3 linked regions of the Stegostoma tigrinum genome follow. The protein of the gene in region 2 interacts with the protein of the main gene of each other region in a biochemical or structural test. Links are inferred from orthologs where the notes say so. Each region holds a gene or a part of one and is shown on either strand. Other genes may lie near its edges. The genes, in order: jam3b, partitioning defective 3 homolog and jam2a.

Region 1 (10,139 bases), on a different chromosome or scaffold from region 2:
ATACCATCCTGAAATTGCACCCTTTAGCTAATCCTCTACTCATGCTAATTTACTACCCTCAATACCATGGACTCTTACCTTACTAAAAACCTAACATATAGGACCTTAGAATGCTGTTTGGAAATCCAAATACAACATTTCTTCCACTGAAAGTGATTTTAAACAACTGACTAGACATTACCAGAATGAGCTAAAATTCATAAAATCAAAAAGAAGTTACATCTGTAATGAATGCCTAATAGAAACAAGTAATTAGAAAATTTCATATTATTTTAGCAGTCTTGAGTTATGTTAGCATCCAAAATGGAAGATTCATATTTTTAGGTACCTGTGTAATGAAACGAGGTAGCGTTTGTTCTCTTATACAATGAAGGTTTATTGCTGAAGTTGGTAAGTAGGTGTCTCGTGTACGGATCTATCTAGTTCTGTGTTTCTCATTTCTGTGCAAGCTGTCATTGATCAAAACAAAACCTGGTTTGTTGGAGGAGTTAGCAGCATGATTGCTGTTCTACAGTACGAACAAAGGGTTCTTGTTCCAAACAAACTCAAAATCAGCTTTATAACTAGCCTTGGAAAAATATTGAAGCTGTGTACAATTTCTGTGTCCTACATTGTGACGAAAGATTCCTTCCAGACACGGTAATGAAACAGTTAATGAATACTTAACTTGTTCATTTCAGTTTCACCTCCTCTCCACCTCACCAAAATACCAAGTATTTTACTCATGGCACAATGTTATCCACACTGCCAATCTCAGCAACAGTCTCAGTATTGCAGTACTACAGACAGAAGTAAAAAAAGAGGACTAGTTTCAGCAAGGATATTTTGTACTTTGGTATAGAAATACTACACAAATAATGGGATAACATACTTTAAGTAATTAAACAATTTTGCCAGTATGTATATTCTCACCTGGAGCTTTTCCTTAATTACCACAACTGTTTCTACGATATTCCGATTTTAATTAAAAGCTTGTTGTTTCAACTAAATTTATTCTGTAATGTTAGATTTCCTCTTGGCAAATCTTAACATCAATATAATTTACTTATAACAGCTAACATAATTCTGTGGTATAATTATCAGCTTTTTGGAAAGTTCTGAGGAAGGGTCGCAGACCAGAAACAGATTTTTCCTTCACAGCTGATGCCAGATCTGCTGAGCTTTTCCAGCAACTTTGTTTTTGATCAGCTTTTTGGAGGGGAGGAGGGTGTGAGAGTTCAGTAGAGAGAGAATTCTGACAAGCGTTCTTTATCTACACAAGCTTCCTTTGAAAAAAAACAGAAAGTGTTATTTTACAACTGCAAATAAATAGAATTAGTATTTTACACAAACATGACTAACTAAACACACCACTGTGTCATGCAAGGGATTTGAGTAGTGTAACTGCATGGGTTCACAAGCCACACAGAAAATCAGCAGCATTGTCTACTTGCCAGAGAATAATCTCATGGCCCAATTACTTTTTACAACATCTATGAATGATGCTTAAGTGCAAGTGAGACAAAATCCAGGCTAAAGAACACAGGCAAGATGAATTCTCTCCAAACATTTGTGAGAAGTGTACAAGGGGTGTCTTTTACTGTGAGGCTGAAGGTCAGAATTCAAAAGAAGGGCATATTACCAATGTAGTATAAAAGTTTGGCTAAACAAGTATAGTTTTACATTACTTTTCGAAAAGGTCAACCAACACCATAACAGGTAAACAAATTCACTAAGTGGTGAACAGTCTAAAGACAGTGTGCCAGCCTATTCTTGTAACGTCTATGAACCCATATCAAGATACAGGAACATCACTCATTTAAACCAGGGCATTATCATCTGAGCACTTTAAATAAAAGCAATGTCTGAAAGCTAATTTTACACTGCAAGTTCTTAAATGGTGAGAAGTTATAGTAACGTTATACAGGCATTAAAATGACTAATGCACATTTGAAGTAACAGAGTGCAAACTCAAAGTCCCCAAGAAAATAACAGAACTTTTGTTCCACCAGGCAGAGACCAAAAACACTGCATCAGCAAGACTGAAAATATACCAGATAAAAATCCAAAGTACCGCAAATACTGGAAGTTAGAAATAAAAACAGAAATTGCTGGAAAAGCTCAGCAGGCCTGGTAGCATCTGTGGACAGAAATCCAAGTTGTGTCACTGGACCCAAAACATTAACTCTGATTTCACTCCACAGACGCTGCCAGACCTGCTCTACTGTTCCAGCAATTTCTGTTTTTGTCTGAAAGTATACTACTGAGTGAACAGATTAAATAAAAAAGGTCTATGGCAATGTCAGGTTTATAATAAAACAAATTCAAGCAGAACACAAAAGTCAGCAAGGAATATAACAAGTAAATAAATGACAGACAAAAGATTTGCAATAAAAGATTACCTGCTAACATAAAAGGCAGGTGTTTTTATAATATCAACATTGAAACAATAATCAAAGGATTTTAGCCACCAACCCCTTTTCTGGTGCTGTATGATTCTTATTCCTTGTACAACGTAGTCACATATGATTCTTATGTAATATCGTTAGGCATAAATCTTGTGCAGAGTAAAATTCACTTTACAATAAAATCAGACTGCATTCTGAGTATGCATTAGCGGAACTAGCAAAGCCAAAATTTAAACAGTAAGATTGCTGATTCTGTGCACTTAACGGTTGCAAGATGGTTCTGTCCATACTTGTATCAAGATATTTGTACTGTTACTAATTTATGTAAGCCTACTATTCCACTAAGATGGGAGAAGTCAAGTAATCTGCCCTGCTAGAGCTCAAATTTGGGCAAGTAATTACACCAATGTTACATGTACAGCAAAAATACAAATAATTGCTAGTAGAAAAATAGCAAGAGAGAGAATGGAACTGAATATCATGGCCATAAACATCCCCAGCACATTCAGTGGACTATAAAACAATCTCCATACATCAGAAAATCATCCACACTGCACATCATTTTATAAAACCTACACAGTTGCAAGAATGACGCTTAGTTTTTCTTTACCTTGATGATTCAAAGTTTATTATTATGCTATTTTGTTATTATACTTTCAGATCGGCGGACATCTTCATTCAAAGCCTCAAAGCACAGCATGTTACTTGTAACCAATACTTGGTGGGGGGGGCGGAAGAAGATAATCAAACATACACAGAAAATGCAAGATACACAGTACTGGGACAGAGCGTCTTTTAGGAGCGAGAGAATTAGTTAACGCTGCAAGTAAATGCTCAATGACATTCTCAAGTTTACTCGCTCCGCGGATTCTCTCTGCTTGAAGCTTTCGAGTTTTTTTTGTTCCAATTTCACTTAAGGCATCTGTGAAAAAAAAATGCAGCCTGGCCAACATCCCGCAGCCGAAATCAACAGTAAAGTCGCATGTTCACTTAGTAGCTTTATTGTTATTAAAAGGAGCCCAGAAATCAAAAGTTATTCTTTTAAAAAACAAGTAAACTACCACGTCAAACTTCACTAGCACATACCCGAGACTGCGCTGAACACAGATGGATTCAGGTGAGGATTTAAACCCGCAGCAAAAGTTGGTGAAAGCGGATTCTGAAATCTAACGATATTAGTTTTTTTCTCGAAATAAAATTAATGACCCACGGCAGGGGAAGGGAGTTACAGTTTGTGCACGAAGCCCAACTGGAATCGGACAACCTTAACAACTCGCAGTATTCGCGGTGGAAGACATCCAATTTGTCTATACTCCTAAAGCAATACAACGCGCCCAATTAGAAACAACTACAATTTTGTGACAAAAACGAATAAGAAGCGCACGCTGCATAAACTCAACTTCCAGCATTTGAACCATTCCTCTCTCCAAAGGCAAAACTTAAAAATGCAAGTAAACTTGCTCCTTGGTCCACGATTGTTCTCGAGAGATATGTTACTCAAGAAGTGCCTTATTAGAGGATTTACAGTACTTTAAACAGAGAAATGAAAGAAAACCCTGCTGAGGCGCAAACTAACGGACAGCACAATTTGCAGCTGGCTCCCCAGGACCGTAACATAAAATTAAAAAAAAACACAATACTTTTAAAAAAACACTCAAACCGTAACAAGGATACAAAGTATTGTTAGTACGTCCAGAGCCTGTTACTTACTCTCCGCCAGGAGGAGAAAAAGCCCAAACTGCCTCCACACCCAGCACCCTCGCGCCATCTTGCATACCGCTGCTCGGGAGGGTCGTGCGCCTGCGTAGAGATTTTAGCCTGGCCATCTCGATGCTGTTACCCCGAGCGACAGCACCATGACAACGAGGAACCATGGCAACGGAGCACGGAGGGGCGAAAGGGGGATGTTTGATGGATCAATGGATGGATGCTGTCACTCCGCAAGGCAGGTAAGAGTGGCAGAGTCAGTGGGGGCAATCTGGGGACATTTTGTTTCCACCATCCAAAATAAAATTCTTAACTGTGATTTTCTTTTTATAGTTCTTCACAAATTTGTTACAGCGATTGTGTCGCTTTAAGGCAGGGGAGTTGGACACTGGGCGAAGCATTTTCTGCCCGTTTAGTCTCAGCATTGGATGGCAGGTGTTCTCATTTAAAAATAAAACAATGTGCTAGTTAAAAATGATATTTATCATGTCAATAAACTACGCAATATTCCTGTCAGCACAGTCGATTTCCACCTCTGTAAGTCTCAGCTCATCTGTTGCTGAAACCCTCAGTATTGTTTTTGTTACCTCATTCTTGACTATTCTGCCATACTTCTGGCTGGTTTCCCACACTTTACCTTCTGTTAGCTTGAAGTCATCTTATGCTCTGTTGTCTTACCTTACAGAAAGGTCCATTCCTCTATTAATATTGTGCTTGCTGACTGACACTGGCTGCCTCTCAAGCAACGTCTTGATTTTAAATTTCTCATCCTCATTTCCAAATCCCTCTAAGGCTTCATTCCTCCCAATCTCCTCAATCACCTCCAGACCTACAACTGAGATATCTGTACTCTTCTAATTCTGCTGTGTGCGTACTCCAAATTTTAAATGCTCCAATATGACTTCAGTTGCCAAGATTCCAACCTCTGAAACACATTCCCTTTACCTCACTTTTCACCTTTAAGACGTCTTTTCTGCTTTATAATACATTTCTTTCAGAAAACATTTAATCACTTGCACTAATGCTTCTTTATGTAGCTCATTGTGATACTTTATTTAAAATAGAGGATTGGTCAACTGAGTTGGTGAACTGCTGGTTTGCAATACAGAGTGAAGCTAACAGCACAGATTGAATTCCCCAACCAGCTGAGTTCACCACAAGGCCACCCAACTTCTCAACATCGTCCCTCGCCTGTGGGCATGGTGACCCTCATGGTGACCCTTAACACTGGTCATCATTCTCTAATGAGAGAGTAGTCTTATGGTCTTCTGGAACCATGGAAACTTTACCTTTTTTAAATGCTCCTGTAAATGCATCAGGTATTTTAAAACATGAAAGGTGCTATATAAATATGTTTTGTCACTGTAGACTAAACATTTCAAGGAGAATTAATAAATTAAGTTAATTATCTGTTCCCTGTGTTGATGAAGCACTGCAATAGGCACTTAATATTTCTTAATTCATAATGACAGATATCATTAACTGAAGGCATTAACATAAGGTCAGAAAAAGCAACAACATTACTTGTACATTGAAAACTTTGGCAGGAACAGAGTGAAGGGATAATATTGCAGCTTCAAGTTTAACACACTTGTTTCATTGCTGCTGAAAATACATTAAAATGGTATTAATCCTGATAAGTAATATAACCACACCATAAAACACAGATAAAAATGTAGCGCAGACAATAAAAAATAGACTTTGGCACTTAATATTTAAACAATGTTAAAAATAGGACTGCAGACTAGAATGCAATGGGTGATGATGCTAAGACTTGACACATATATGAGATTTTTAAACTTCGGATGAGGAAATATTTGTGGGTATTTATTTTAGTATTAATTTATTTGGTGCAATGTAATATGGAAAGATTTATGAGATATAATATTTATGCAGACATGGCCTATTCCTTCAAATATGAGGAATTTTGTGTCTGCTGATGCAACCTGCTGGATTCTATTCCAGCATTTGATCAAATATCAAAAATGAAGTAGATTAGTATAAATTTAGTTAGCAAGCTAGGAGACTAAGTTTAAGTGAAGTATCTAGAAGAAGTTGAACTAAACATGCCCCCATGTATTCCAGTGAATAACAGAAAATTGTAACACAGTAAATCTGAGAAAAAAATCTTCTAGCATTTATATTGTTTGTCTAGTAACATTATTAAAAAGAGTCTTAGATTGAATACTTATGCTACAAAAGATGCTATAAATTACTTTCCAAGTTGTCTGACAAATGAGCACAAATTATGAATGAGTCAGATGAGTTGGATGTTTTTATTTTAACTTGTCATGAAACTTTGAGGTTGCAGGAGAAAACACTGTTATTCTTTAAAACTTTGTTAAAGATTATACATGATTCTGGTGACTCAATTTTCTTTGGATATTGGGAAATTACACAGGGGCATGACTAATTCTACAGAGTGTAGATATTTCACTTATACTCAGTCAACGAGCTTGCTATCTAAATTTATATTAATTTTCTTCATTAACTGAACTTTTGATATTTGCTCAAATGCTGGAATAGAATTCAGCAAGCTGCATGTTTCTCCAAGTAATGTTAATTTGGTGTTTTGGTATGTACGTTTTAAAATGGAAAAATAACATTAAAATGTTGGAGTGTATTATGCATAGATATTACCAATATTAATTTCTCAAGGAGGTGAGTAGTGATTTTGTTCAAACTTTGCATTTTGACCAATATTCACAACATGTAACTTGTCAGGAAATACTTTAATGTTGATTTCTGCATTCCATTTGAATCTATTCTGACCCAATTTCAGTATTAGCCATTTTAACATTGGATTCATGATTTAAAGCAATTGTCAACAATTGAATCAGTGATTATAATTCAAGATCATTTAAGGTAAAGATCCTATATTAGTTCAAACTAGCAACTCCTCATACTTCCCTGATACATAATCAGTTTCTACTTCTGTAATCAACAATTTTTTTTTAATACTTTCTAACCCTCTCCTAACCAAAATTGTATTTACATTGTTTTCCAAAGTAAAAGTAGCACAATCAGGCTATTGATTTTGATGCTATCCCTCAGAACAGGTCCAGTTTACAACCTAGATTATGTCAGAGTAACAATTATCAATGTAGGTATCCCACTTCATTGATATTGTCCTTTTTGCAGTGGATACTAGTTCATAAAACTTGCAGGTATGGATGGTATTTGTAAATCAACACTTAGAATAGCTATTATGTACAATATCATAAATTGTTTGAAATATGATCCAATATTTTGCTCTTTTTACTGAATTTGTGATATGTAATCATCAAGCACTTTGTTTTCTAAGTATGTTTTCATGACTATCAAGCAAATAGTAGGTTCTGCTTTGATAGAATAAAGTACATGAAAGGCATAAAATAAAATGTTTGCCTAACAGCAAACAATAGAAATAAACAGTGGCCCTAACAACATTTGTTTGTGTAAATTGTTTGTCACAATAGGATCTATGCTCAAAATATTTGCCTTCATTTTTTTACTGATGCTGATTTATCTGTTGTGCATTTTGTATATGCTCAGTATTTAGATCATGTTTCCAGTGTCTTCAGTTCTTTTCCTTTTTACTTGTACCATTGATGGCAATACTTGAGAGGAATAATTGCATGCAGGGAGTATGCTTAGTTGAATCACTATTTAGCTAGATTGTTTCCAAGCAACAACAAAAATAGGAAGAAGAAAGGCCATTTTGTTGAAACTGAACTAAATAATAGACATATTAAGTAAAATGGTGGAATAGAGATGACCTTTCAGTACTTCAGAATTATTTGTAATATTTAGGGATAGGAAATTATTTGTTTACAATGTAATGTTAATTTTTAAAATCTAAAATAGTCATTTGCCTATAATAGTACAACATTAACATTATTATCAGCATAAATCAGGTTATTATTGTATTTTGTTTATATTTGAACATTCTTGTGTTGTCCACATCCTGTGATTTTCTTTCCAGCATAATTTAAAAGTCAAGTTTGTAATCCATTCTCAAAATAAGGAGTAATATTCCTTCTACCTCAACAGCTTTGCTTTCAAGGGTCACAAATGCAGTGCATAGTACTTAATCTACCTGTAAATTCTTGAGTAATCAGATGCATGTTAATTCTGTAAAAGCAGGATCAAGCAAAGCATTGTCACATACACGTGTAAACATGTCAATCTTGCCATACATTGACTAATGTCAGAGGACATAAGCTGAGCTTTGCTGCAGGTTTTTAACCTCTAATCCCCATGTGAGTTCATATATTATGATTAAAGTCCTCTAATGCCTCAGATTTACGGTCTCCCTTGGGGAAAGGATGTCCTTTCAGGTCTAATCGTGGCTAAAACTTAATGAAACTGAACATGACCTTGCATCGTCTTGGATGTTTATCAGAAAGGAAGTCTTGTTTAAAAGTTGCTGCTGTGCCTTCATGATGCTTCTATCAGATAATCAAATATGTTTACAGCTAACTTAATCAAGTGCATTCTTTTCAAAATGAAACCATTGAGAATCCGTTTGAACAAAACTTTCTTTGAAATTATTGGGTTTACCAATACAATTCAGAATATATGATTAAAAGATTGGATGATCCATCATGGCCTTCCTGACGTCACCAGCATCACAGATGCCAATGTACAGCTAATCCGTTCCACTGATATCAAGAAATGGTTGAAGGCACAAGGTATGGTAAAGGCTTTTGGGACAAACAGTATGCTGACAATATTCTGGAATCTCATGCTTTGGAATCAGTTGCGCCCCTACCCAAGTTGTTCCAGTGTAGCTACAACACTGGCATTCATCCAGCAATGTAGAAAATTGCCCAGATATGTCCTGCTCACAAAACTAAAACAATAAAATAAATTCCAACCTAGCCAATTCCCGTTCGTCAGTCTACTCTTTGTTATAAACAGCATGATGGAGGGGGTCGTTGATAGTGCTATCAAATGGAAATTGCCCAGCAATAATGTGTTCACAGATGCTCAGTTTGGGTTCTACCAGGGCCACTCAGGCCCTGACTTTATGACAGACTTGATCCAAACATGAGGCTGAGTACCAGAGGTGAAGTGAGTCTGACTGCTCTTAATATCAAGGCAGAAGTTCACTGATTATAGAACAAAAAAAAAGTGCGCTGGAAAAACTCAGCAAGTCTAGCAGCACCTGTAGAGAGAAAAACAGTTAGTGCTTTGAGTCCAATGACCCTTCATCAGAACTGAAAAAAGCCGGGAAAGGGTAGTGATTGCATAGGAAATTGCCCGAGGAATGCAGGAACGTGTTGGGTGTGGAGGAGGAATGAATCACAGTGTCCCAGAGAGAACAGTCCCTGTTGACAAGAGAAGGAAGTGGAATATGTTTCTGGTAGTGGATTCCTGCTAGATATGGTGGAAATGGTGGTTTATGATCCTCTGGATATGGAGGCTGGTTGAATGGAAAATGAGGACTATGGGACTTTGTTATTGTTGTGCAAGGGAAGAGAATGAGTCAGGAAATGAATCAGATATGGCTCCGGGCCCTGTCAACCAAGGTGGTGGGGAATCCTTGATGGAGGAAGAATGTGGACTTTTCTGAGAACCCGTATGGAAGGTGGCATCATCAGGACAGATGAAACAGAAATGGAGAAACTGGGAGGATGGAATGGATCCTGACAGGAAGTAAGATGTGAGAACAATTAACTGTAGGATTTGATAGTTTGTAATGCATATCGGTGGCTAGGTTATCCCAGAATGTGTCCTGACAGGAAGTCGGATGTGAGGACATATAGTCAAGGCAACTGTGGGATTTGATAGTTTGTACGGGATAGTGGTGGCTAGTTTATCCCAAAAACAGTAGAAGAACATTTTCAATTACTGGAATCACACTTGGCACAAGTATTATGGCTTGGTTGTTGGAATATTCAGGACAGCGTTCCAGGCCTAATCATCTTTGGTCGATCCATATAAGGTCAGAAGTAAGAATATTCACTGATGATTGCACAAAATTCAACAGCATTTGTGACTCTGCTGATAGTGAAGCAATGTGTGTCTATAACTAGCAAGACCTGGACAACCTCAGACTTG
Region 2 (9,927 bases):
TGGAAACACACCCTTTGGCCCAACAAGTCCACACCGCCCCTTGGAACATCCCCACCCAGACCCATCCCCCTATAACCCACACACCCCTGAATACTACGGGCAATTTAACATGGCTGATCCACCTCGCCCGCACATCTTTGGACTGTGGGAGGAAACCTGAGCACCTGGAGGAAACCCACACAGACACGGGGAGAATGTACAAACTCCACATAGTTACCCGAGGCTGGAATTGAACCCGGGTCCCTGGTGCTGTGAGGCTGCAGTGCGAACCACTGAGCCACCATGCCGCCCCTTTATTACTTTATGGATAGAATCCTAAGGTGGAAATGGAGACCTTGGCAGGTTGGTGCAGAGGAGAAATGGGTGGCGGTTCACCAGGTTGTGCTGTGGGCAGCATATGAACGGGAATATTACAGGTAGCATACAAATTATTGGTGGGGGGTCATTTAGGAGCAAGGAAAACTCAGGCTAAGATACAAAAGCATTTCTAAAGTCCTGGATTATATAAGGATGTGGTTGAATTTTGCCGTACCTGTCATACATCTCAGATGGTAGGAAAGCTTCATGCAGTAATAAAACCAAGGCCTTTGATGCCAATTCCCGCATTTGAAGAAACTTGTACGCCGATTATGGTTGATTGTGCAGGTCCCTTCCCTAAAACCAAAAGTGGAAACCAGTATTTGCTAACCATAAGGGATGTGTCAACCAGATTTCTGGAGGCAATTCCATTATGGAGTGTCAAGGTGGAAGAGTTGCTTGCTTCCTTTACCCAGGGAGATTCAGTCAGAACTAGGGTCCAATTTTACTGCCAAACTATTTAAGGAGATCATGAATAGTTTAGGCATCAAACACTTTAAATTAAGTGTGTACCATCTTGAATCACAGGGAGCATTGGGAAGGTGGCACCAGACCCTAAAAACCATGCTGAGGGCTTATTGCCAGGATTAGCCAAATTATTGCAATAAACGGACCCATTTATAATGTTTGGCATTAGAGATGGCCCAAATAAATCACCTTAGTTTACTCCATTTGAGTTGACATTCAGACACAAAGTAAGACGGCCTTTAAAATTAATTAAGAAAAATAAATAAATTGTTATGTCTTACTTATAAAGTGGATATCAGGGATTTTCTTTCATTTTTAACCACACTTTTAACAAATTATAAAGGCGAGGCGAGCTTCTCTGGGTGTTTCAGAAGGGAACCCTCTAGTACGACTAGTATTTTGGTTTTATCCTATTAGACGGGTTTGACTTACCCCTTCTCTGGAACAAGTGCATCAACCACGCTGTCTGCTTCCATGTGTAAATTTTTATTCCTGGAACACGGGCTTTGCTGGCAGGGCAGTATTTTATCGTCAGTCCCCAGTTGCCCTCAGAAGATGGTGAGCTGCCTTCTTGAACTGCAGCAGTCTACCTGCTGTGGGTTAACCCACAATGCTCTTCAAAAGGGAATTCCAGGATTTTGACCCAACAACAGTGCAGGAATGGTGATATATTACCAAGTCAGGATGATGAGTGGTTTGGAGAGGAACTTGCAACTGGTGTTGCTCCCATGTATGTATTGCCCTTGTCCTTCTAGATGGAAATGGGTGTGGGTCTGTAAGATGCTTCTGAGGATCTTTGGTGAATTTCGGCAGTGCATCTTGTAGCTAGTACATACTGCTGCTACTGAGTGTCAGTGGTGGAGGGTGTGAATGTTTGTGCATTTGGTGCCAATCAAGTGGGCTGCTTTGTCCTGGTTGGTGCCAAGCTTCTACACTGTTGTTGCAGCAGGCAAGTGGAGAGTATTCCATCACACATCTGACTTAGAGTCATAGAGTCATAGGGATGTACAGCATGGAAACAGATCCTTTGGTCCGACTTGTCCATGCCAACCAGTTATTCTAAACAAATCTAGTCCCATTTGGCAACATTTGGCCCCTATCCCTCTAAACCCTTCCCATTCTTATGCCCATCCATATGCCTTTTAAATGTTGTAATTGTACCAGCCTCCACCACTTCCTCTGGCAGCTCCTTCCATACACATGCCACCCTCTGTTTGAAAACGTTGCCCCATAGGCCCTTCCCCTTTGACCTTAAACCTATGCCCTATAGTCCTGGACTGCCCAACCCCAGAGAAAAGACTTTGTCTATTCACTCTATCCAGTCCATCATGGTTTTATAAACCTCAGCCTCTGATGCTCCAGTGAAAATACCTCCAGCCTATTTAGCCTCTCCCTTTAGCTCAAACCTCCGACCCTGGCAATATCTTTGTAAATCTTTCCTGAACCCTTTCAGGTTTCACACCATCTTTCCTAAAGCAGGGAGACCAGAATCGCACTCGGTATTCCAAAACTAGCCTAACCAATGTCCTGTACATGATCTCCTAACTCCGGTACTCAATGCACTACCCAATAGTATACCAAATGCCTTCTTACTCACTGCAGTATTCCTAGCCTTTGACCTGCTCTCCTAGCCACTGTGTTTGTGCAATTAGTCCAGTTAAGTTTCTGGTCAATGATAATCCCCAGGATGTTGAAAGTGGCGGATTCAATTATGGTAACACCATTGAATGTTAAGTGGTGATGGTTAGATTGTCTCTTATTTGGTCATTGCCTGGCATCTGTGTGGCATTAGTGTTAATTGCCACTTGTCACCCCAAACCTGGATATTTTCCAGATCTTGCTGCATTTCATTATGGACTGCTTCAGCATCTGAGGAGTCGTGAATGATGCTGAACATTGTGCAATCCCTACATCTGACCTTATATTGGAGGGACAGTCATTGATGAAGCAGCTGAAGATGATTGGGCCTAGGGCACTACCCTGAGGAACTCCTAAAGAGATGTGCTGGAGTGGAAATGACTGACCTCCTACAACATCATCTGCCAGGTATGATTCCAACCAGCAGAGCCTTTGCATGGCCTCACACTCCCCGATACCCATTGATTCCAGTTTTTCTAAGACTCCTTGATGGCACACTTGGTTGAATGCAGTCTCGATGTCAAGGGCTCTCACTCCCACCTCACCACTGGAATTCATCTCTTTTGCCCATGTTTGAACTAAGGTTGTAATGAGGTCAGTGGCTGAGTGGCCCTGGCAGAACCCAAACTGGACATCACTGAGCAGGTTATTGCTGAGCAGGTGCTGCTTGACGATAGCACTGTTGATGACACCTTCCATCACTTTACTGATGATTGAGAATAGACTGAATAGTATTTGGTTGGGTTGGATTTGGCCAGCTTGTTGTGCAGAGGACACACCTTTGCAATTTTCCAAATTTGAGTAGAAGCCAGTGTTAGAACTGTACTGGAAGAGCTTGGCCAGAGGAGTGGCATTTTCTGGAGTACTTGTCTTCAGTATTATTGCTTGAGAGTTGTCAGGGCCCATAGGCTTTGCAGTACCCAGAGCCTCCAACCATTTCTAGATATTATGTGGAGTGAATCAAATTGGCTGAAGAATGGTATCTGAGATGCTGGAATCATAGGAGAAGGCCATGATGAATCATCCACACAACACTTCTGGCTGAAGATAGTTAAAATTGCGCAGACCATCATAGAAGCCAACCTTCCATCCATGGACTCTATTTACATGACTCATTGCCGTGGAAAGGCTGTCAACATCAAAGACCCATTGCACCCCGGTAATGACCTCTTACAACCTCTTCCGTCAGGCAGAAGATACAGAAGCTTGAACACATGCACCATTATTAGACTGATGAATAGATGCCTTAGGCTCAAATAATGCTGATCTTGCTAACACTGATCTCACTTAGTGTACAACCTGTGCGAGGTAACCTGTATGCCTCTGTCTTCAGCTGTATGTTTTGTACTAATGTGTTGGGTTCTTCAATAATTGAGAATGGGATATTTGATTGATTGATTGATTTATCATGTGTACCTGAGTACAGTGAAAAGCTTTGTTTACGAGTCATACAGGCTGATCATCGTAAGCAAGGATGCACAGATCAAAGATTGTAAAAACTTAGACAGACGACACTTTCCTATTTATATTCTAAAGATTTTTGGATTTTTAAAATGTTCATTTGTCAGTTTTGTCTTCATCCCCCTCTGGACTTCTCAACCTGACGGCATCTTACTCTCTGTGTTTTTTGTCTTTGCTTACCCCACCCATGTCTCTCCTAACAATGTACCTTGATTGCAACTGTTCCAGCTCTTCTTTAAAAATAAGACCATTGTTTTGTCTGCTACTGTTTAATGCCAATTTACCTGGGGCAGATCCGTTCTCACCATACAGAATTTGGCTCTATTCCAATTAAGCATTTAGACTCTAAATGACATATTGTTTCTTTCAGTTGCCAATTTAATCTTATGATACAATGATCACTGTTTCCTACACATTCCCTGACTGACACTTGATCCAACTCATTCCCTTAATCGAGGTTCCACAATGCCCTCTGAGCTCATTGGACCAGGAACATACAAATCAAGGAAATTTCCATTAATGCATTTCCAAAATGCTTCTCCATCTCTGCTCTTTATACTGTTAGTATACCTCAAAATGTAGCTGGATTATTAAAGCCCCTATTCTCAATATTCTTCAGTTTGTTTGTATCTCTGTGTGTAATTTAGCTGCAAATTTATTCCTCTGTAACTTCTGAACTCTAGAAAACACCCAGTATTACACCTTTATTGTTTCTTTGCTCTGAGTAGATTCAGAAGTTCTGAGGAAGGTTCACTCAATCTGAAATATTAAACTCTGATTTCTCTCTATGACTGTCCGCAGATGTTGCCAAACCTGCAGAGCTTTTCTATCAATTTCTGTTTTTGTTTCTAATTTACCGCATCTGCAGTTCATTTGGTTTTTGCTTAGTTCAATGCTATCTCTCTGAATCTTTTGCAGACCTTGTTTCTTCTTTCTAATGTTACATGCTATTTCCCAACCTTTGCCAATCAGCTAAGCATCCCATGAGGACATTGGTCCTAGCTTTGTTATGGTGCAACCTGTCAGCCTGTACAGGTCCCATCTTCCCATGAACGATCCCCAGAGATGTAGGAATCCCTCATTTCTGCACCATCTCTCCAACCACACATTTTTCTGTGCTTTTGCTTCTGTACCATCTAATTCTTGGCATTGGAGGTAGTCTGGAGACTAATTCTTTGAGGTCCTGAATGATAGTCTCCATGCCAGCCCACAAAGGTCTTCCTATAAGACCTCACCCCTCTTTCTACCTGTGCCCACTAATTTGGATCATGACCTCTGCTTGTTCACTTTTCCCCTTCCAAGTGCCCTGTAGCCACACAATATATCACGGCCTCTGGCATTGGGGAGACAACACACCTTTCTGGATTCATAACTGCAGAAACAGCTATTTCCTTTCATGTATATTCCGTCACTACTGCACTTGTCATGCCAAGGAACCATCTCTCTTCCATGAAAGAGCGAATTGTCTTCTATGCACTCAATAGCTGATTGTCTTCCGGTCACCCAATCCAGCTCTGCCTGCACACTCTCAGTGCCAGCTCTCGAATTCACGGAACAGACGGCAAGGGAGAGAGGACCAGTCGATACAGTGTGGAGCTGGAGGCACTCAGCAGGTCAAGCAGTTTCAGGGATCCTTCATCAGATCATGTGTGCAGTTCTTGCTATCTCCAAGGGAAGGAAGACATTGGGAGCGTGGTAGTGAATATATGCAGTATTTAGTGATGAAGTTTGGCCCTCAGCGCAACACCGTAATGATTTATCTTCACCTCAGTCTGTGCGGCTAGGAACGCGCTTTGCACGTCTGTGGTTGAAGCTGAACGCTGGATTTGCAACGTTGCGGTGCCGTGAGCGGCCAGGGCGGGGAGACACTGGGTGCTCCAGGTTTTGCTTCCCTGATTTTGGGCTGTTCCTCCGGCAAGGCTGTGCTCGGCTCCACTCCCACAAACAGGAACAGGTGGCGGCAGGAAGAGGCGCCGTGTACAACCCGAGCGGGGCCGCTCGCACCACCATGAAACAGAGCATTTCATCGCACGGGGCGGAATAAAGGAAAGATACAACCTTGCAGCCGGCAGCGGTGAGAGAGGAAAGGAAACAGATTAACCGCCAACCCTTTCTTTATTTTGGGTTGAGCCGACGAGACCCTTGTGCAACAGAAGCTGCGCGCTGTTGTTACCGAGACGAGTGATGAAAGTGACCGTCTGCTTCGCGAGGACCAGGGTGGTTGTTCCTTGTGGAAATGGGGCCATCACGGTGCACAGCCTGATCCAGCAGGCGGTGACCAGGTACCGCCGTGCCATCGCCAAGGTGAGTGAGGGCAAAATAAGGGGAGCGGAGTGGCGGCGGACACAATGTATCCAGAGACCAGCCAGGAGCAACATGGCGCTTCCTGATATTCACATTGGATACAAGCTTTCACCTCCCTCTGTGCTTAACGAAGGGAGGGTGAGTGCAGAAAGAGGAGAGGAAACGAAAACAAAATACAAAAGCCGCGACCATAAAGTTAAAGCTTTTCGCACGGCCTCCTCCCCTCCCTTTTCTCCACAAGTTTTGAAATCTTTTTTTTCTTATTATTAAAAAAGTTTTTCGTAACTTTATCCCCCGGCAGATTTGGGTGTATTTTTCTCCTGTCTGTAAATTTATTTTCTTTCCCCTCCCTCGGCGGGGGAGAAAAATACAAACTGGTGTGAGGTGAAATGGAGCGGCCTCGGACTGTGAGAAGAAGGTGACTCAACTCCAGCTCGAGGCTTTCCCAAACACGGAGGCCTCGGACTCCTTTCCTGGGAAGTATTTGACAAGAATTTGGGTTTCATGTTTTCGAACGATCGATTAAATTCCGTAGACGAGTCGCTGATTACTGATGATACCGAAATACGAATAGGAACAGAAGCGTTATTTCCCCCTCTCTCATTTCCAGTCAGTCTTGTCAGTGAGATGATTGCATGAGTAGGATCGGAATTCATTGGCTAATAACGCTGTTTTCGCATCAAGCAACAAAAGAAACGAATTTCTGCTTGAGATGGACACATTGCTCCCCTCTAACTGGTGTCTAATTTAAAGTCATCTCATTGTAGTAAATTAGATTCGTAACTTTAAAATTAACTCTAAACGTTTTCAGACTAGTCTGTTGGGTAATTAAAACAGGGTTTACTTTCTCAGAAAAGTGTTAAAAATAAGAGTTGGAAAGTTTGGCCAATTAGCCAAAGTAGGTAAATGGAAAATATAACTAAACTACATGGACCTTTAATACTGATCAATTGTTGAAGTTAATGTACTGTTAGTGTGAACTATGATTAAAAAGTGCGTTTTTTTTTATTCTTTGCATAGTTAGCACAAGCAAATGAAAGTGTAATTTTCACAAACCTGTCAATTATTTTGAAGAGCTGTGAACAGTTGTGACCTTGAAATTCCTGCCACGTGCATCTTTTAACTCTTGACCAAAAGCATATACATATAAATCTATTTGGTTGAGTTGAATTGTATTCCAACTCTAGTTAAACTGAAAGTGGAGGTTTGTGTTGAATCGGATAATTGGTCGCACAAACTGTATTGCCTACTTTGTGCATGGACTAACTTTTTAATCAATAGTTGAGATGTACCGGAAATGTAAGGTTAGGTATTAGTGGTAGCCTGCTGTAAATGTATTACTTCACAGTGCCACAAAACTACTGGCTAAATATTTAACGTTGTATCAGAGATAATGGGAACTGCAGATGCTGGAGAATTCAAGATAACAAAATGTGGAGCTGGATGAACACAGCAGGCCAAGCAGCATCTCAGGAGATGCTGCTTGGCCTGCTGTGTTCATCCAGCTCCACACTTTGTTATCTTAAATATTTAATGTTCCTTGATTATAATTATTGTGATTTTCTGTATGTTCCTGTGTAGTTAGAATTTGCAAATGTGTATTTACTGTGCAAGAAATATTCGAATAATTGGCTAAATAGTTTGCTTGAGGTATATTTTTGGATTGATTTTTGAAAAAATGTGATGACATATCCTTTGTGTTATAATCCTTGCCACCCAAGCAGTAAGTTTTGTAATGAGTGGACAATTTTTGATGACTTCCCATAAACTTAATTTTAAATGTTATTCATTCACCTTGGTTGCATGTTTAATGTCTAGTTTTCAATTGACCTTGCACTGGATAAAGCCTTAACAAATTCCTGTGGGGGAAAAAAAAATTCTCATCTAAAGCAAGTCATTCATCACCGGAAAAATTGTTGGTTGCTATTTAGGTTAAAGAAAAAGTTTTAATACTGATACAGGTGGGAATGCAGGATTTGATCTGTAAATGCATTAAGAATGAAAACAAGGTATTCATGAATTGAGCGGAATAATGGATCTCATATTTATATGCAGACAGCACTTGAACAGGTCATTGAGGATGTCACAAAACACTTGATGCATGTTGAATTACTTCTCAACTGCAGTCATTCTTAATTTGCAGAGGGGAGTGACAGTTTCTTTGCAGACAGCACAATCTCGAACAGTAATGAGATGAATGTTCAGTTGTTTTGTTTTGAATGATCTTTACTGAAGAAAAGCTGTTGAACAGTTGAGGAAACCTTGCTGTTCTTGTTTGAATACACAGTCTTAATACTTGGTTTTTTGTGCCACGTGAAGATAAGCACCTCTGACAATGCTGTGTTCTTTCAGTAATAGGCTGAGGTGTTGAACTAGATTACGTGCAAGCGGCCTGCTCACAAGCATCTAATTTAAGACCTCAGTCTACACACAGCGCTTTCCAGTCCACAATCTCTGTCATTTAGAAGGACAAGCGCAGCAGGCATACAGAGTAACTACCAAGTTTCTTCAGCAAATCACACATGATCCCAAATTGCAACAGTATTGCTGCTCTTTCACTGTTGAGTGAAACAGCTGGAGTTCCTTCCTAACAGCACTGTGGATGGAGTAGTTTGTGAAGGTGTCCATCATCATCATCATCCTTGGACTTCTATTAGAGACTGCCAATGACACTAACATCCTGTGAATGAATTGTCAAAAAAGAAGTATTGGAAGCCAATAAAATGGCACAGTAGTGGTTAACAGGGATGATATATCAAAAATGAAAGGATGCAGCTGAATTGAAAAACCTAAAACAAATAACAGTATATATTTTATGATGCATTGAATGTGTAAATTATTTAAAAATTATTTTCACTTGTAAGTAGGAAGCATAATTTCTAAGATGAGTACAAGCATTAAAACATGAATTACAAATTACTTACAGCACAGAAACTTGGACCAACTACTTCACACAGTGTGTATGCTTCATGTGAATCTCCTCCCATTTTGCTTGATCTAGTCCTATCACCATTTCCTTCGAAATATTAATGTTTCCAGATGATTGAATATAAGTCTAAACACTTGAGAGAATTGGAGTAAGGTTTAGAAAATAAATGAAAATAAATCAAATGCAACTTGACACCTTGGTGTCCAGCTCCACAAGCGTTCAGGCAATGCTCCTGCAGTATCAACCATGATAGACTGGGTGCTACACCTAGATTGTTGAAAATGTCTCCTCTGGGTCCTGTTTCCTCAGTTCTTAAATGTCTGATGTTATGGGGAGGATGAAGGAAATGCTGCAAAGGCATCCTGAAGCTGTTGTTGAAGCACACCTATGTTGACACTAATGACTGGGAGGAACTTGCTAATGAATCAAGGTGGTACTGGAAATTCCACTTAAGTATCAATGTAGAGACCTAGACTGAAGTTGCTTGGAATTTGATTTGATTTAATATTGTCGCATGTACCAAAAAACAGTGGTGTTAACAGATGAATTGTACCTTCCCTAATTACGTCAGTGTAATAGAACAGAATGCAGAATACAGTATTACAACTACAGAGAATGTGCTGAGAAACATCAAATCTAATATGAAAGGTCCATTCATAAGTATGATAACAGCGGGAAGAAGCAGTTCTTAAATCTGTTTGTATGCGTATTCAAACTTTTATATCTTCTGCATGAAGGAAGACAATGGGAAGGGTCTTTGATTAGGTTCG
Region 3 (10,411 bases), on a different chromosome or scaffold from region 2:
TAGAACAATTTCTCCACTTCAATGAAATCAATACAAAACACAATTGAAAGTTGCTGCTGTTGCACTTTGAGATATTTAAGAGAGTGGTATTAAGACATTGCAAGGAGTAGAATCCTAGAATATTACAGAATGAAAGGAGACCATCATCCCTTTGTCCTCATGCCAACTCCTTGACAGAGTCATTTATCGAGTCCCATGCTTATCATCCTTGCCCATCTTGTAATTTTCACTTTTTAAAAAATGGTTTAGCCAATTTCCTTCAAAAATCATTACTGAACTCACTCCCACTACCCTTTCAGGCAGCTCATGCCATGTTAAACAATTTGTTCTATAAATTCTATTGGTGGCACCACTGCCCCACAGCACCACGAACCCAGGTTCAATTCCACCCACAGGTGGCTTTCTGGAGTTTGCATGTTTTCCATGTGTCTATGTGGGTTTATGCCAGGTGCTCTGGTTTTCTCCAACCATCTAAAGATGTGCAAGTCAAGCGAGGTTGCCTTGTAGTGTGTTGGCTAGGTGGATTAGCCATGATAAGTGCAGTGTTACAGGGATAAGGTGTGGAGGTGGATCTGGGTGGGATGCTCGTCAGAGGATCAGTGCAGATTTGACGACCTCTTTATGCACTGCAGGGATTCCATGTTTCTTTGCTATTTTGTTGCCTTCACACTGAATCTGGTTACTGACCCTGAAAATGAGCAGACATTCTTTCACCTATCAACATCCCACCTTTATTAAAGCTACTTCCTTAATCATTTCTGCTCTGTAGAGAATAATTTCAGTATCTCTAGTCGTTCCACATAACTGTTCCATACCTCTGATATTCTGCTCTACACCTTCTCCAAGAACTCAGCATTCTTTTCAAACTTTGATGCTCAGAACCGTACTCCAAATTAGGCTTAACATTGATTTATAAAAATTTACTGTAAATTCCTAGATTTTTGTTCTATGCAGCTGTGTATCATGCCCAAGATTCTGTTCATTTTTAGGAACATTCTCAGTTTGTCCTAACACTTTCAATGATTTTATGCACAAACATCACCAGGTCTCTCCTTTTCTGAACTCCTTTTAAAATTGTTCTACTTAAAGCATATTGACTTCTCTTATTTAATACACAAAATGTAAGTAATACATGGATCACTGTACAATCGCAAGAATTTTTTATGAGCAAGACATTTTTGGCCTTTTTCTCTTTCAGAAGGGTGAAGATCATTGGACTGCAAGCAGAACATGGACTACAGCCAATATGGGGGAGGGAGGGGAGCTCCATATATAAAATGTGTTACTGTCCATGTACTAGAACTAATGTCGTTACTGCTGCATTGGCTGAGCATGTGCCAAGGTCGACAGAGAGTCAAGCTAACAGGGTTTTTAAGAAAAACAAAAATCTCTTTCCGAACTTTTCATAAAAGCAAATATGTTAGAAGGGAAACAGTCGCAGGGCTAGAGCAAAAACTGGACAACTCTTTTAATAAGCCAGCACAAGGCTAAGTGGACTTCCAAACTTACAATACTGTGATAAAGTAACACCAATACCATGGCAAATTTCATCAGTGAGTAGCCGAGCAGCACAGACCAGGAAGGTGCCCCAATAGGTCCTGAGTCTAAGTCACTGGTAAAGCGGCTACAGTAAAAGGATTTACGCTTGAGATTATTTAGCCATGCTTCTCACTCCTGATCACTGTTCTCATTCTTGATCATTATGTTTTGATTCCACTGGACAGTATATCATTAGACTGAACTGTGATACTCTCCACAGTTAATAAGCCTACCATTATTCAAAGCCAACACTCACATGAATAATGGTCACTTTAGAAACCCATGATCTCTACCACCTGAAAGAACAAGGGCAGCAGGCACTTGGGAAGAATATCTCCACACTCCCTCCTAATCACAGAAACATTTCAACTTGAAAATGTATTGCCATTATGTATTTTTGTTCTTTGAAGTGCTGGAATTCCCTAAGAGTGGGATCACAGCAGAAAAAAGTTTGTGAAGCACTGATTCATGCAATATGATCCTAAAGTGCCACCCGTGACATACATATGAGATTTATAAATATTTTAATCTCATTTATTTTTGTCTTTTCAATTTTGAACTAGTGGCATATGGGTTTTCAGAATGTCTGAAGGGGTTTAATGATGAACTTATAAAGTATTTCTAATGCCTTTGTGAAATCTTTTAAAAACACAACATGAGAGAGATAGGTTCGGAAGATTAATGCAAATCTGTTTACATTTGGAGAGTTTATCATGGAATAAAGTAAACACAATGGTGCTTTAGGCTTTCAGATAAAAGATTCCTGAATTGTTTTCTTGGGCTTACGGAAAACAATCATAGCTTGGAAAAGATTTTTTCAATTTCAGTCTGCATAAGTCTTAGCTGAATCTGAATCTATAAAGTTCATGAAAATATAAAGCCCATGAAAAAGAACAGGCAGTTTAGAACTGTTAAGAAATAAGCGCCTCAGTGTAACAAGTTTATTCTGAAAGTTCCAAACCAGAAGTATTTGGTTACACCTCTGAAGGAGTTACTTGAAGCAGAGAAAATCTAAGCTTAGTTGTATGAAGCCTCTCCCTGAAGCCTATCAGATTCACAAGACAAGGAAATTGAAGTCACAGTTAAAATGTGCTATTATAGATGTGAAAGAGTAAGCAATTGAGATTAATGGAATTACATTTTAATCTGTTTTGAAATCTTTAAATTTGTAAATTGTTTGGTTTATTCTTCATTTCTTTCACAGAATAAATTTCTGTTTTATTGTTAAACGCAAATCTGATTTCCATTTTCTAGCAAGTGTGCCCTCAAACCTTCGCTTCCCATCCTTTGCACAACAGCAAACAGGGACCCCGCGGTCCTCACTTTCTACCCCTCCAGTTTCCTCACTGAAAGGATCATCAGCCACCACTTCTGCCACCTCTGGTGAGATGCCACCATCAGACACATGTTCCCCTCCCTTCCCTTGCTCGCCTTCTACAAGGGACCATTTTCTCTGGTACACCCCTCCTCCATTTCAAACACCCCCCACAGAACCTTCCCATGCAATTGCAGATACAAAACTTGACAGTTTATTTCCTCCCTCCTCCAGTTGTTTGTTTCATGTTTCAGACCTTCAGCATCTGCAGTTCTTTGTTTTAGCCTTGAGTCATTGTCTTGGTTGGGATCAACAAACTGTAGCCTTTGCTGATACATTAAACCTGGAGGAGGGGGGCCTTGCTTGGTGTGCGATTCCTGCCTTTACATTAGGATCACTGCATCAACTTGTTTGAGGCGAAGGGTGTTAAACTCAACAACCATTGTCCTCTCACTCACTCTCCTGACTGTGTGTGAGGAGACTGTGTCTGAACTCAGGCATGTATTCTAACATAGGGTTAATCATCCCCTTGACCACGTTTCCAGAATTTTCTATTTCATTTTCCTTTCCTTTTAAATCCCCAAAGTTTGGCAGCCGCGGATTACTGGTGTGGGCTTCAAATAATTCTACAAAAGTTTCCTCCATTCCACCAACACGTCCCGTGCAGGGAGTCTGTTGGACAGAACTGCAGGAATAATTTACAAACACCTCTCCGCCCCGAGGACCTAAGCTGCAAGGCGGGGGGGCGGGGGGGGGCAGGACATTAACAACAACAGGGACGAACCCCAAATAAAAGCAGGTCCAGAGAGCTGCCAAACTGCTGAGGAATCAATGAGAAAGCAGCTCACTCCTCAGATTCAAGGTGGCTAAACAGCAAGCAAAGAGAAACCGTTAGGATCTGGTGATGGTGGGGGAGGTGGCAGAGAGAGCCAAAGTTAGACAGGAGCGGCAGACAATGTTTGAAGGCACTTTTGTCAAGTACTTACACAGCTCCAGGAGGATGAAGGAACACACAAAGGTTTCAACTTTCACCATGTTATCACAGTCTCCACCAGCAGCCACCACACCCCCAACTCCAGTCAGTCTGCTAAAGGTAGCCCCCAGAGAGTTTAGCCAGAGCCTTTCCCGACGGTTGCTAGGCTGTGTGCAGCGGGATGAGACCCGACCTGTTTCTTTTTCCTGCTCCTTCTCAGTGAGTCAAGACTTTTTTCTCTCTCTCTCCCGTTTGTTAAGAGGGCTGCGCCTGCAGGGTCCTACTGCCACGGCCTTCCTTGCTGAGCTGGGCAGGAGGTTCGTTCTATCGCCAGCCCGAACTCCTCCGCCGAATCATGCGCTGCGCTCCTTTCCTTTCCGTCCCACGAATCGCGCGATGGCCACAGCGCAGGAAGGGGGAACGTTCCGCCTCTCGCTCCCCTGTCTCCTCTCCATCCACCCAACTTAAAACAAAAGCCAGTGAGCTGCGGCTTCTGGGGGTCTGGAAATAAAGTAGAACCGTAAGTGCTGGAGAAACTCAGAGGGTCTGGCAGCATCCGTGGAGAGAGAAACAGAGTTAACGTTTTGAGTCCGGTGTGACTTTTCTTCGACGAATTAGTTCTTTCAGGCAAATGAAAGACATCTGACTGACGTTTGTGCGATTCCAGATCCACTGTGATGTGTTTGACTCTTCACTGCTCTCTGCAAGGGGCTAGCGGGGTACTCAGCAACAAAAACAGAAGTTGCTGGAAAAGCTCAGCAGGTCTGGCAGTATTTGTAAAGGAAAAAAAATCTGAGTTAATGTTTCTGGTTCAATGACCCTTCCTCAGAACTCAGACAAAAGTGATGTTCCGTTACACCCCCATGTGTTGCTTATACCTCTTACAGCAGATTTACAGCATCTGCAGTTCTTTTGGTTTTTTTTATTAGAGAGCTACTCAGCTCAACAGTAAATGGGGATGGGCAACACAATGGGATGTTAACGAAGATAATAAAATGTGAGGCTGGATGAACACAGCAGGCCAAGCAGCATCTCAGGAGCACAAAAGCTGACGTTTCATCTCTGATGAAGGGTCTACGCCCGAAACGTCAGCTTTTGTGCTCCTGAGATGCTGCTTGGCCTGCTGTGTTCATCCAGCCTCACATTTTATTATCTTGGAATCTCCAGCATCTGCAGTTCCCATTATCTCTGATGTTAACGAACATCACTTTTGTCTGATTTCTGAGGAAGGGTCACCAGGCCCGAAACATTAACTCGGATTTTTTTTCTTCACAGATGCTGCCAGACCTGCTGAGCTTTTCCAGCAACTTCTGTTTCTGTTATCATTTTTGCCAGTCTTGGGCAGCAACCTCAGAGAGCCTCTAACGTTTGCACTGCTCTGCTCCTGTCCAACTTCATTGGTCAAAAAAACACATGGGATTCCTACAGTTCCGTGCACCATATCATTAGCCTCTTTGGCAATCTCATAAATAGAGTGAGAGATATTTGTCCACCACACAAACATAATGCTGAAATCAGGTGCATCAAAGCCAACTTACAGGATAATAGCTACCCTGAACTGATCATTTCATGCTATATAGTTGTGTAAGCCTATGGAAAGTTGTCTGACTGACTACCCCAGTATTGATCTACTGCTCTGTCTTACTGTCTTAGAATATTGTTGCTTCTTGTGCATTTATCTAGAGTCCCCTTAAACACACATATGCAAATCACTTCTCTTATGTCATGATAATATAAAATATGGACTATCCAGTTTCAAAATCTTTTGGATCTATTTAATCTAATACCTGAGACTTCCATGATCTGAATTTAAAAAAGGATTAAATACACTAACTTAAAATTACCAGAGCAATTACCAGACCCATACAGGTTGACCATGTTTTATGACAACAATGCAGATTGGGCAAATTCAATCCATGCTGAAATTAACATCTTCCCTAAGGGGTATGAAACCAGCCAAACAAAAAAACTCCCCGAGTAGGTGTGAAATGGCCCTCATCCTTTTTTTTGATTGACACCTTTATGAGAATATTCACAGTTGGAGGTATAACTGTCTACAATTAATAAGCCTTAAAATGTCAGCAACACAGGGTATACAAATTAGCTTGTGTTTCAGGGAGCTGCTTTTGGCAGAGAAAGGAGAAGAAACAATAAATGCAGCTCTGAAGACAGGCTGAGCACTCTTTTGTCTCTTAAGAAGAAAATGTATCTGGTGACAATACTGATTGAAATGGAGCATCAGGAAAAGCTATAGCCACATGTTAAAAAGAACTTTGGGCTTTCATTGCAGATACTTTGAGAATTTGAAAACAAGGAACCCAATTCACCTTCCCTCCCTCTTTCTCATTGTAGCAAATTCCAAATTCTCACCTCTCTTTAGGTGTAGATGTTTCTTCTGAATACTTTTTATTAGATTTATTAATGATTCGTTCATGTTTATGACCTCTAGGCTATACCTTTTCCTGATGCTTCATTTCAGTCAGTACTGTCACCAGATACATTTTCTTCTAAAGAGACAAAGAGCGCTCAGCCTGTGTTCAGACCTTTAGATTTTGGAATATAGGAGTTGGAGAAGATCATTCAGCCTGCCATGCCATTTTATATCATACCTGATCATCTGGCCTAATGTCAGATTCCCATGCTCTCCACATACCCCTTTATGTCAGTACCCCTTCAACTGAGCCATTGCTAACTTTGTATAGTTAAATTTGAGAGATATGACTTTCCTGGTGCTCTCATAAACATTCTTCTGACTGATATCACCTCAAAACTCCTATCCATTTATCTCTGTTGTCTGGAGGAACACGCTGACATTTCATTGTTTTAAATATAACAGAATTGGTAAAGAATTGGTAACAGATATGCAGACATACTCATCATTCTTTTGAAAAGTAATGCATTGTGTAAAACACACTGAGAGTTTTTCAAACTTTTCACAGTAAGACAGGAATATATGCAATCAAGACTGAGGTGCCAGGAAGCTGTAAATTCTGTTTCCCTTGATCATTGTTGAAAGATCTGGAGGAGTGATGAGGAGAATTTTGTTTACCACAAAGATTTATTGTATCCTAGAACACTGTCTGAAAAGTTGGAGGAGACTGAAACCTTAAATAATTTGAAAAGGAAGATGGGATGTATTTCAGGTTGAAGAACATATGGGTTATGGAGAAAAGCAGGGGTGTCTGATTATTCTTTCAAAGAGCCACCATATATATTACAGGCTAATTCATTTTTTAAAACAATCCTTGAATTAAGAATCCACTGATACCCACAAAACCATTGCCAATTGTCAGAAGAACCCATACATCTCTAATTTTCTTCAGAGAAGGAAACTGCAATCCTCACTTGGTCTGGCCTACATGTGACTCCAGACCTACAACAATGTGACTGACTCTCAACTGCCCTCTGATATGATCTATCAGGTCATTCAGTTCAAAGGCAGCTGGGGATGGGGAATAAATATTGGCCACACAGCAACACCAATGTCCACGATTGAATTTAAAAAAGTGGCCTCCTAATGTTTACTCCAGTTCTATAATTTTATGATCTTGCCTTCTCATCTATAGCAAGTTGTGTTGTTGGTCCCTTGGTGTAACCAGTCATAATGTCACAACATTACTCTTGTGTGCTGTAAGGATTAACAGTGTTTGAAGAGATTGAGAAGGAGTTGTCTGTGTTTGGGGCAGCTTCTGAAGATATCTTTTCTTCACTTCTTCCTGGGCAGATTCCTAATCAAACAATTTCTGGTATCCGCAGGAAAATTTGTTTGATAATGTTTCAATTGTTCTGTTGTTTGGCACTTCCCTTCAGATGCCTGAAATAATGAATACTAGTCAGACTCTTTTTTTATACCTGGAAATGCAACCCTAGGATGGCCTGTATGTTCATTTCCCAGTATTCTTTAAACAGTTCTTTCGCCTCTATAGGAAACAGCAGTGTCTTGCACGTTGTATAATAAAAGTTACTTCCAAATAGCACAGAAACAGATCATTACCCCAAATGTTTACAGCGTTTGTACCCCATCTGAGCCCTCTTCTAATGTCCTTCATCCATCCCTATCAATATATCCTTTTCCTTTTGCTCTCATGTATTTATACAGCTGTCCCCAAATGCACTTACATTGTTTGCTTCGACCATTTCATTACTCACAATCATAACTTTCTTGTTATAGCCTTGCAATTATCTGGGGGAATATGTATGAGGCAAGTAATATATAGAAGAAAGGTGAATATATTAATGGTATGAGGCTGCTTCCTGCCACTCATTTGGTAGATGCAAATTCCTATCTTGGCTTGTATTCATATTGTACGCATAGTATTGTGTACATGAAGTTGAGTAAAAATCTCATAGTGAGGACATGGTAGCCTAATAGGTATATGTTTTGGATTAGTAATCCTTATCTTATGAAAAGTATTTATTAAATCTTGTACAAAAACAGAAATTGCTGGAAAATCTCAGCAGATCTGGCAGCATTAGTGGAGAAAAATCAAAGTTAAGGTTTTGGGTTGAGTGCGGAATAAGGGTCACTGGACCTGAAATGTTAACTCTGATTTCTCTTCATAGATGCTGCCAGACCTGCTGAGATTTTCCAGCAATTTCTGTTTTTGTACAAGATTTCCAGCATCCACAGTTCTTTTCATTTTAGTTAAATCGCTGCAACTGATTCATAGTTTGGTTCCACTTCATATAATATTTGGATGTTTCTTTGAGTATTTGTGGTGTGTTCCAGATTGGGTTGGTTTCCTACTACCCTCTGGAATATGTTACTTCTTAACATTTTTATTGGAGCATTATGAAAAAAGGTACCTTTTGTTGAAGCCTTTTATCTTGCACTCATTAGGACAATGCACAATAATTCCAATTCAAGGCAGAAATCAACATGATTATGCTTTGTGAGGAGACATGTTGGATTGTTTGGCAAGTCAATTCTGCTAGGCAGAGGCATTGTCATGTGAATGCATCAGTTAATGCTGGCTGACAGTTCACAGTCAGACTTCCTGTAAATTTTAAGCTGCATAGGTTGTCTCTGATATGTCAAACATTGTTGAGAAACAAAGCAGGAAATGTATCTGGACTATACCTTCTCTCACCCATCTTCCTGCAAGAATGCGATCCCTGACTCCCAATTCCTCTGCCTCTGCCACGTCTGCTCCCAAAATGGAGCGTTCCACTCCCGAACATCCCAGATGTCCTTGTATTTCAAGGAACGCAATTTCCCTCACTTTGGTGGCAGAAAATGCTATCAACCACATCTCTTGCACTTCCTGTACCTCTGCCCTCACACCCCCACCCTGCAACAAAAAGCAAACACAAAATCCCCCTTGTCCTCACGTATTACTGCACTAACTTTCGGATTCAATGTATAATTCTCCGCCACCTGCAATCTGACCCCACAACCAAAGATATAGTTCCCTCCCCAATCCTATCTGCCTTCCGTAGGGACTGCTGTCTCCATGACTCCCTCATCCGCATCACACTCACCACTAGCCTCACCATGGCAGGAGGTGCTACACCTACCCCTACGCTTCCCCCTGCCTCACCTTCATCCAAGGAATCAAAGAAAACCTTTCACTTCAGACAGGCCTGCACATCTGCTGATGTGGTAAGCTTCTCTTTTTATTACTTTCTGATAAGGGGACTAGCAGGGATGGGAGTGCAGTAGAGGAATGTTCCTCCTGCATGATGTATGAGGTGAGGGACGCCATTAGTGTTCCATCCAAATACATCTGCAGGAATCCCCACTGATCAATCCCCACCACTGCCTACCTGCACTCATCTATTAGCATTCCACCTACCTTCCCCAGTCCCACCTCTCTTTCCTCTATTTATTTCAGAGCTCCTTTACTTGTCCCCCATTTCTGAAGAAGGGTCCCGGCCCAAAATGTCAATTTTCCTTCTCTTCTGATGCTGCCTTGCCTGCTGTTTTCCTCCAACTCCACACTGTGTTATCTCTGACTCCAGCATCGGCAGTTCTTACTATCTCTTTATAATAAAATGTGAGGCTGGATGAACACAGCAGGCCAAGCAGCATCTCAGGAGCACAAAAGCTGACGTTTCGGGCCTAGACCCTTCATCAGAGAGGGGGATGGGGGGAGGGAACTGGAATAAATAGGGAGAGAGGGGGAGGCGGACCGAAGATGGAGAGTAAAGAAGATAGGTGGAGAGAGTGTAGGTGGGGAGGTAGGGAGGGGATAGGTCAGTCCAGGGAAGACGGACAGGTCAAGGAGGTGGGATGAGGTTAGTAGGTAGCTGGGGGTGCGGCTTGGGGTGGGAGGAAGGGATGGGTGAGAGGAAGAACCGGTTAGGGAGGCAGAGACAGGTTGGACTGGTTTTGGGATGCAGTGGGTGGGGGGGAAGAGCTGGGCTGGTTGTGTGGTGCAGTGGGGGGAGGGGATGAACTGGGCTGGTTTAGGGATGCAGTAGGGGAAGGGGAGATTTTGAAACTGGTGAAGTCCACATTGATACCATATGGCTGCAGGGTTCCCAGGCGGAATATGAGTTGCTGTTCCTGCAACCTTCGGGTGGCATCATTGTGGCAGTGCAGGAGGCCCATGATGGACATGTCATCAAGAGAATGGGAGGGG

The links.
Region 1: the proteins of partitioning defective 3 homolog (region 2) and jam3b form a complex in vitro, tested with the Homo sapiens proteins (2 studies listed by BioGRID and IntAct, with this or other methods). The link is inferred for Stegostoma tigrinum from reciprocal best matches to the Homo sapiens genes PARD3 and JAM3.
Region 3: the proteins of partitioning defective 3 homolog (region 2) and jam2a form a complex in vitro, tested with the Homo sapiens proteins (2 studies listed by BioGRID and IntAct, with this or other methods). The link is inferred for Stegostoma tigrinum from reciprocal best matches to the Homo sapiens genes PARD3 and JAM2.

What each region holds. Positions count from the first base shown.
Region 1 is NC_081385.1:20,253,850-20,263,988, forward strand, and holds the start of jam3b (junctional adhesion molecule 3B), read right to left. Parts: upstream 4,179-10,139; 5' UTR 4,156-4,178; coding exon 4,098-4,155; intron 1-4,097. UniProt on the Homo sapiens protein: Junctional adhesion protein that mediates heterotypic cell-cell interactions with its cognate receptor JAM2 to regulate different cellular processes. Plays a role in homing and mobilization of hematopoietic stem and progenitor cells within the bone marrow.
Region 2 is NC_081355.1:130,247,015-130,256,941, reverse strand, and holds the start of partitioning defective 3 homolog, read left to right. Parts: upstream 1-5,490; 5' UTR 5,491-6,108; coding exon 6,109-6,228; intron 6,229-9,927. UniProt on the Homo sapiens protein: Adapter protein involved in asymmetrical cell division and cell polarization processes. Seems to play a central role in the formation of epithelial tight junctions. Targets the phosphatase PTEN to cell junctions.
Region 3 is NC_081365.1:12,612,182-12,622,592, reverse strand, and holds the start of jam2a (junctional adhesion molecule 2A), read right to left. Parts: upstream 4,455-10,411; 5' UTR 3,890-4,454; coding exon 3,841-3,889; intron 1-3,840. UniProt on the Homo sapiens protein: Junctional adhesion protein that mediates heterotypic cell-cell interactions with its cognate receptor JAM3 to regulate different cellular processes. Plays a role in homing and mobilization of hematopoietic stem and progenitor cells within the bone marrow.